2 linked regions of the Oryza sativa Japonica Group genome follow. The protein of the gene in region 1 binds, or shares a complex with, the protein of each later gene. Links are inferred from orthologs where the notes say so. Each region holds a gene or a part of one and is shown in the gene's direction. Other genes may lie near its edges.

Region 1 (4,153 bases):
CCGAAATGATATATTTTGAACTATCTCTTTGTTTCAAAATATAAGAACCACCAACATTTGTAGTTTGCACTAAAATATAAACACTCCTAGCACTATAAAGTATAAAGTACTACTTATTTTAATTGTTTCCCATTAAAATTTCTTTCCATCTCTTCCTTAACCACTTTCTTGCCCCTAACCATATCTTATTTAAGCCGCATTCGTTTATTCAACTCTAAAATGCAACTTTATCTTTTTTAACATGTTTTTCAAACTGTTAAATGTTTTCTTTTACAAAAACTTATTATATAGAAGTTATTTAAAAAAATCAAATAAGTTTAAGTTTAAATTTTACGGTAATTAATACTCAATTAATTATATGATATTGGCTTACCTGTTTTGAGTGCCACCAAAAAGCTAAACTAAGTTGAAGATTCAAACTAGGCCTTGATATTGGACATCGAAATCTTTTCTCTTTAACCTTAATCTCCATGGTTTCCAACTCGTAAAATCAAGTCGAGGTACCCTGGACCGATTGGTCAACTAGTCCATCACTAGCTGATGACTTGCCCATGCAAAAACAGGGATGCAACATATAGTCTTTACTAATATTATACTATACTAAGCATTGTATAAAGTATAAATTATGATCTATAGTAGCAAGACAATAAATCAACAAGAAATAAAACTAAAGTATTAAACACAACAAGCTAATTAGCATGGCGAATTAATAATTCGCAACCGACTTTACGATGAACCACGACTTGCTGTTTGGACGAGACGTGGTTCTCTAGTCGATTAGCTTGACCAACTTTACAACTAATCTATCACTAAAATCGTGACTAGTCGTATGACTTGATAACAATTATAATCTCTATGTACAAATAAAATTATATTTTGGAAATGTAGTACTAGTATTTTTTACAATTTCCTTAAAAAATTATTTTGAGGGACTTTAGTTTTTCTCCTCTAGGAAATAGACCATATATGCCTAATTTTGAAAAGGATAAAGGAGTCGTATACCGGGTATCAGAATTACTAAAATACTGTCGCAAGTTTTTTTGGAAAAAAAATATCTATAGTATAATTATAGTGTAACTACAATATTGTTACACTATAAGAAACTATATCGTAATCTCTGTATAAAGTACATTGTAAAATGTAACTGCACTAACTACATTATAACCACCATATAAGTTAGACAAAAAATTATATATATTATTTCAATACTTATATATAAGTTATATTATAGTTAGAGTAAAATTATATTACAATTACAAGATTTGAAAGTTTATCCTTTAAAATTACGGCAGTTTTCTTTATAGTCTCTACTCGTATATATAGGCGGTTTATAACAACTTGAACTTTTATTTGGGACACGTGTACATAACTCTTTCGGTCCGGGACCCTCTCTTGTTTTTCTTCGTTGCTCGCGAGCTCTTCCCCCCTCGCCTCGCCTCCCCACCCAACAAGCCCGCGGCGGCGACTAGGGTTTTGACCCCCCGGAATCCCCCCTCCTCTCGCCGCCTCCGCCTCCGCCGCCGCCGCCTTCCTCCCCGCGCCGGCGACGATCTGCTCCTCCTCCCCCGCCGGCATCGCTGTTTCCGGATCTAGCGCAAGATGGTTCGTCTCTCTCTCTATTTCTCAATCTGTACCCTCTCGATCCCCAAATTAATGCGGCCGTGTCTGATTCTGTGTTTGTGTTGTGGTTGCAGCTTCCGCTCTCGCTCCTCAAGACCGCCCAGGGGCATCCCATGGTAAGAGAAGATCCGCCGCTTCGCGCTGTGCGTGGTGGTTGTTTGGTTTGGTTTCTGATCGGCTAGGGTTTGAAACTTTTGTGTGGTTTTTTTTTAGCTCGTGGAGCTTAAGAACGGCGAGACGTACAACGGGCACTTGGTGAACTGCGACACGTGGATGAACATCCACCTCCGGGAGGTTATTTGCACCTCAAAGGTGAAATCTCGCATCCCCGACCCACTTCGCTTGTAGATTTTAGTGGGGACAAAAGATTAGTGGCATTGTTTGGATTTGGGGAAAATAGGGAGTAGCCATTTGTTAAAGTAGTCTTCATATTTTTTTTGGAATTTGACGTGGAGATAGACAGATAGTAGGAACTTATAGTTCGAATTGTGTGTTCTCTTTTGGGTCATTTGGTTCCAATTGGTTTGATCGTTTAGTTTGTGATGAATGCTGTTTCCTCATTGTTTATGGTTGTCATTGCAGGATGGTGATAAGTTTTGGAGGATGCCAGAATGTTACATCCGTGGGAACACCATCAAGTATCTTCGGGTTCCTGATGAGGTATGGATTTTTAACATGTTAAACCTTGTTTACTATGTGCTTGTGGTTTGCTGGTTGTATGTTTAGACATGTATGTTCTCCATCTGCATAATCAGCCTTTTTTTTTCCCTGTTAGCATTCATCACCATAATTGCTAGCAAAATCACTATGTCGTGTGCAATTTTTTTGTGGTCAGCTTTCAGTTTCAAGTTTTGTTTTCCCTTTTAGATCTTTATGGGTGCCAGTGTGTCTCTTGTTTTGTCTGAGTAATCTCTCACGTTAGATATATGTAAGTTATTTGATGCCATTTAAGATATCTGCCTTATGGTGTTTTTAAGTGATTTGAGCAGATGAGGACCTCTCTTAAGCTAAGCAGAGCATTTTAATATGATTACGTGCAAATCACTCTGCATTTTATCTGTTAACTATCCACGAGGGGCTGATAAATTTTCTTGATTTCAAATCACTGATATATGACACCAAACAATTCTCCTGCTATGAATAGTGACAAAACTTATGTTCCAACTCTGCTGTACGCAAAGCTACTTTCCCACAGCCAAGGAACATTGAAAATAGTTCAGAACTTCAGATAATGGAGAAGTAAATATCACATAACCGTGACCTGGATAGTAGGCCTAAGTATATATGTCTCCTAGGTCACATCATATAGATGTAGCTGACTTTACATCATATGGATATAAATGTTATTAGTACTTTTAACCCATAAATCTATAAGCAAAGCACAAATGGGAATGTATTGAGCCAGGATATGCCCACACTTGTTATCAATTCTGAATTTAACCAGCCTTTCAATCCCTATTCTGGAAGTACAATCGAAAATTGATATGGTAGAGGTAGAATACTTTTTACCCGATCTTCTGGAGTTAGACAGCCTTTTATCCTTATTCTTAATCTTAAGCTGCATATTTTACCACTGAGATTAAGATTAAGAAACAGACATAAATAGGACTATTGTACCACTGAGATTTAGATTGCATTTTCCTCATGTGCTGGTTTGAGTAATCAAACAATCCTACGATGAGTTGGTCAATTGTGGGACCATCCCACAATTTAGTTGGTTTCCTTATTTTTCTACAAAACTTGATACTTTTGAGGGATGAGATGGAGTGGACCAACCCATTAACATTCCCAACCAAATAGTTAAGTTCAGAGTTAGGATCGTATGGTTCATTCACCAACTAATTCCTGAAATAGAACAGGGCCATCAGTTCATCTCTTGTTAGATATCTCTTGTGTTCATTTTGTTGTATTACTCTTTATTTTTATTTTTAGAGGTCAAATAGCTAATTGGATGTTCTTGATACTACCTCCATCCCAAAGTATGAGTTTTAGGGTTGGGCACGGGTATTAAGAAAGTTGGTGGAATCAAATGGGGAAAGGTTGTGATTGATTGATTTCGATTGATTATTTTTGTCTTTTCATGACATTCCAGCATATGTTATGTACTTCTGTTTTACCTTCATGATGATGATGATGATACACCAGCGTTGTCATTGTTACCTGTGCTTTCCAATCCTAAATGCATGAATTTATTTCTATGACAGGTGATTGACAAGGTCCAGGAAGAGACTTCAAAGAGCAGATCAGGTATGTACCCAATGGTTCCAGCTGTTATAAATCACATTTGTCTCTGTAATTATTTAGATGTTTTAATATTTTCTGTGAACTTGATGAAATATTTAAATCATAATTTTGTGCTATTAGTTGCCTTTGCTTGAACCTTATTCCAGTTCATTATTGGAGAAAAAATTGACCTTATTCAGTTTCCAAGAGATGTATTTTGTCATAACCCATAATTTTTATTAGTAAGAAGTACATTATATGCGGCAGTGCTATCAGTTGAATGTATGTGGCAGTGCAAATGCGTTTATGC
Region 2 (4,308 bases), on another chromosome or scaffold:
CGGTTCATAGAAAATTCTATTAGTTGTATTTTATGATAAATTTTAATATTAAATGTAACATATTTTGAGACGGAGTTAGTAGCTTAAAAAACACATCTAACATCTAGTAGTTGATTAGCAAAACTACAGGCCTAATGCATTGATATACACAACTCATAGCTAAAACAATTAGTTGGTTAATATCTACTTTAGATTTGAAACATAGTTGACAAAAAAAAACTTTAAAAAAATTGTCATGGTTTGGATAGAGTTCATGAAAGAGTCAACCCTTCTTCTATTTTCGTTGATTTTTAGTATAAAAAATCCATTTGCCCCCATTAAGATATAGTAATTTTTATGTTGGTTTTTATTATCATACTTTTCAAATTGCTAAACAGTATATTCCATGTGAAAACATTTTATATATAAGTTATTTTAAAATACATGATAAATCATTATTTCAACTTAGTAATAATTAAAACGCAACACTTTCTTGTTTTTCGTACCTAACTTTATCTCTACCTTTAATAAAACAAGATAATCTTTTTATTAGGAAAAAATATTATTATCTTCGCTCCAAAATATATTAACTTTCCATTATAAATCTAGGCAACATTTTGGGACAGGGTAGTATCGTATATTCAATTGTTCTCACTAGAGCAAAAATAGTTCAGTTGTTCATCACATTAATTGCGCAAATCCTAATTGGCGCGCACGCGCCCCTGGCGCGCACGCGCCGGCCCACACGTCTCATCCTCAGCCATTCTCAGCGCTTGCGCTGGCGAGACGCGCGTTTATTTTTTTCGGAATTTTTTCTCTATACGTATAAAACTGATTCGGTTAGTTCTAGGTAATGATAATAATTAAGATAAGATTTGTCTTTTTTCCGAAGATTATTTTAAGTAATAAATTGAAAAGAAATATATATGTGAAGTCAAATTCTAAAAACTTTCAATCCAGATTTGAAAACTTTCAATCTAGATTTGAAAAGTTTTTGAAGTTAAATTTTAAAAACTTTCAACTTTTCATCCCAAATTTAAAACTTTTCATCCTAGATTTGAAAAATTTCAAGCCAGATTTGAAAACTTTTAACTCAAATATAAAAACTTTCAACTCAAATTTAAAAACTTTCAATACAAAATTTAAAAACTTTCAAGTCAAGATTTGAAAACTTTCAAGTCAATTTTGAAAACTTTTAACTCAAATTTGAAAATTTTCAACTCAAATTAAAAAACTTTCAATACAAAAATTAAAAAATTTCAAGTCAAAATAAAAAACTTTCCAATTCTACATTTGTAAAGAGGTGTGCAAAAGATTAAAAAAAAATCGGAAAGAAACGGAGGAAAAAAAACGCGCTCAGAGAAAAAAAAAGAGGTGCGAACATGAAAAAAAAATGTACTGCGTTTTTTTACACGGTAAGCGCTAGGGTTAGTAGGAACACGCGCGGCTTCCCGTTCTGGCGCGTGCGCGTGCAGTAGGAACACCCCATTAATTGGGCTTCAAATCATACACATTGAAGCAATTAGGCTTCATCTCTAAAATGGGCTGAAGGCCCAATAAGAAAAGTCCTCCTTATACCTCTATAAAGTGATTGCGAGAAAAAGAAAAAAAAAGAAGAAAAAAAAAGAGAAAAACACAACACCATCAACCCCCGCATCCGCCACCGCCGCCACCACCCCCTAACTCCGGTAAGCCGCCGCCGCCGTCGCCGGCGGGCGCCGTGTCTTCTCCCATCCGTCGTCTCGGATCTTGCAGCGAAATTTGACAAAGTTTCCCTCCTTGCCTCGCAGATTTGAAGCGACCAGAGGCCGCGGCTAAGGTCCGGGATGGTAAGTTGTAAACCCTCTTCTCCCCTCCTGGGGTTTCGGGTGCTCGATTGGATCGATCCCGGGTGCTAGTTCTTGGTTTGGTTTGGTGGGATTGATTCCGGTTTCGTGTCTTGGTGGAGCAGTCGGGGCGCAAGGAGACGGTGCTGGACCTGGCCAAGTTCGTCGACAAGGGCGTCCAGGTCAAGCTCACCGGCGGCAGGCAAGGTTGGTTGGTTTCATCACCAGTTTAGGTCTGGATTCTTGAATACTCGTAGATGTGGGTATAGTTTTGTGCCAAGAAACCTCAGTGGCAGGGGCAGGAAATCCTAGGTCTGCAGCAAAATTGTAGAGTAGGGTATAGCCAGCTCGAACAGCCTCATTATAAGTGAAACGGTTTAATTAGCGATTAAAAATATAATTTATGGGTAAAACTTTTATATATGAGTTCTTGGTGATTTAAAAGCAAATGCTGAACAAAAGAAACTACGATGAAAAATCACCAAAATCAACTCTATAATAGTTTTAAAATTCAAATTTTCACTTACGCTTATAAGCTGAAGGCTAAATGATGGGGTTGGAAGAAGCTACTAATTATTTCAGTAAAATTCACTGTGCGCATCAGCTCCAGTCCACAGTAATGATCTGAGATGTCGAGCGCAGCATCCATGTGGCTAGTTTTAACATGTCCTCTGAATGCTTATAGCACATAATTGTGAGTTTTCAAGCATGGTGGTTGGTAAATTAAGGTTTTGTCACAAATTGGTCATCTTTTAGCATTTCTTGTGATGGATCCTGCTGTCCAAGGGCCATCCGCCACCCAGTTAAAATTAACGAGTAGCAACTTTATCAATTGACACTTCCTAATTCCTTAATATTCTTTCATAATGAATAAGTCTGGAAATGAGCTCCGCTCAATCCCTTAAACATTGATTCCAGTGTTCTGTATGATACCACATATAAACCAGCATTCCACTTGCATTCATTCAGAATTTCAGCAACACCAATATGTGCATGTGGAGAGGATTTGGCCCTACTAGAAGCTTACCGCCTTCTCTTCCAGTTTTTTACTTTCAATCTGTATGCTCACAGATACCAGATTCTGTGATTGCATATTTTTGAATTACACCTTGTATTCTGTTTGTAGCTAACCTCATCTAGATAGTGAAGGCACTCTCATGGTTGGCTATCCTGATAACTATATGATGACTTTTCACCTTTATTTTTTTTCTTTTTTCAGTATCATTTTACGGACAGAGTGGTAAAATATCATATGCTAACTGTATATTGAAATAGAAACTCCGTCAAGCAGATGAGCGGCCCCTTATGTAATATCTTAAGTTTTGACATTGTTTATAGTAGTTGCAAGGAGGTTAGCCATTAGCATTGATATTAAGATAAAGATTGAAAATAGACTAAAAAATGACAGTAGAACTGTTTCAATTTCCAGAAAACTCGTTTTTGTTATCCTGCAGTTTGTTATAATACACTAATACCACATCACAGGCCATAACTTTGGTATTTCTACATCTGCAGTTACAGGGACTTTGAAGGGCTATGACCAGCTTCTAAACTTGGTGCTTGATGAAGCGGTTGAATTTGAAAGAGGTACTGCTGCATATGTTGATACATTGCATTGTTTTGTTTGATCCCCATTGGTTTGGAGTTTTGAGTATAAATCACAAATCTATGTATTTGGAATCTTAACTAAGAAGAAATTTCCATCCTTCATGCATCTTGTATGTTTATGTGGTGCTAATCTACTGTTATGTACAAAGAAGATTGGGCTGGAATACAGCATAATAATTACACATAGACTAAATTTTAGTTTTCCCATTGTCAAACAATCATGACTGGAGGGAGTACTACTTGCTAATGTAGGTGTGGTACAGTTGTAGATAACAAATGCCTTATTAAATCTTTTCCTGCAAAGTTTAGTGAAGCTCTCATACATACTTTCTCATTTTGTAGAGCAAGATGATCCATTGAAACTATCAGGGAAAACCAGACAGCTTGGTCTTATTGTAAGTTTCTTTGCAGTATTGATTTCAATATCCAGGACTGTATTGATTTCAATATCCAGGACTTATCTTTGTCCTATATTATTTATATTGCTTGCCGATTGTAGTTCTGATAGTTCTTTTCTCTAATACACGAGATGTGTGTATCATTTCATTAAGAGAAGGAAGCTCTGAGAGTTTTTATTTCCATGCTATACGATTATTTTGCACTTTGCTGAAATCTGCACTAGTTTTTTTTTTTTCTGGAAATGTTGATTCGATCAGATTTACAACAAAACAGTGATTAAACAAAAATAATCTCAAAATCAAGAGCTTGGTTTCTTGCAAACTACTAGTTTGTTTCTGCCATTTGATTTCTTTTTGGCTGGTTTCATCATCCTGACACCTCAGCTCCAACGACTGTTTGTTGCAGGTCTGTAGGGGTACAGCGGTGATGCTTGTATCGCCAACCGATGGAACGGACGAGATTGCCAACCCCTTCCAATCTGATGGTGCATAAACCT

The links. Proteins that work in one complex are often made in the same cells at the same time.
Region 2: probable U6 snRNA-associated Sm-like protein LSm4 (region 1) and sm-like protein LSM7 share a complex: the UniProt entries of both Arabidopsis thaliana proteins name them as parts of the heptameric LSM1-LSM7 complex. The link is inferred for Oryza sativa Japonica Group from reciprocal best matches to the Arabidopsis thaliana genes emb1644 and EMB2816.

The regions. Positions count from the first base shown.
Region 1 is NC_089035.1:8,583,612-8,587,764, reverse strand, and holds the start of probable U6 snRNA-associated Sm-like protein LSm4, read left to right. Parts: upstream 1-1,348; 5' UTR 1,349-1,599; coding exon 1,600-1,602; intron 1,603-1,694; coding exon 1,695-1,736; intron 1,737-1,833; coding exon 1,834-1,932; intron 1,933-2,202; coding exon 2,203-2,280; intron 2,281-3,824; coding exon 3,825-3,867; intron 3,868-4,153. UniProt on the Arabidopsis thaliana protein: Component of LSM protein complexes, which are involved in RNA processing. Component of the cytoplasmic LSM1-LSM7 complex which is involved in mRNA degradation by promoting decapping and leading to accurate 5'-3' mRNA decay.
Region 2 is NC_089042.1:4,610,545-4,614,852, forward strand, and holds the start of sm-like protein LSM7, read left to right. Parts: upstream 1-1,507; 5' UTR 1,508-1,667; intron 1,668-1,769; 5' UTR 1,770-1,805; coding exon 1,806-1,808; intron 1,809-1,930; coding exon 1,931-2,012; intron 2,013-3,320; coding exon 3,321-3,392; intron 3,393-3,755; coding exon 3,756-3,808; intron 3,809-4,217; coding exon 4,218-4,304; 3' UTR 4,305-4,308. UniProt on the Arabidopsis thaliana protein: Component of LSM protein complexes, which are involved in RNA processing. Component of the cytoplasmic LSM1-LSM7 complex which is involved in mRNA degradation by promoting decapping and leading to accurate 5'-3' mRNA decay.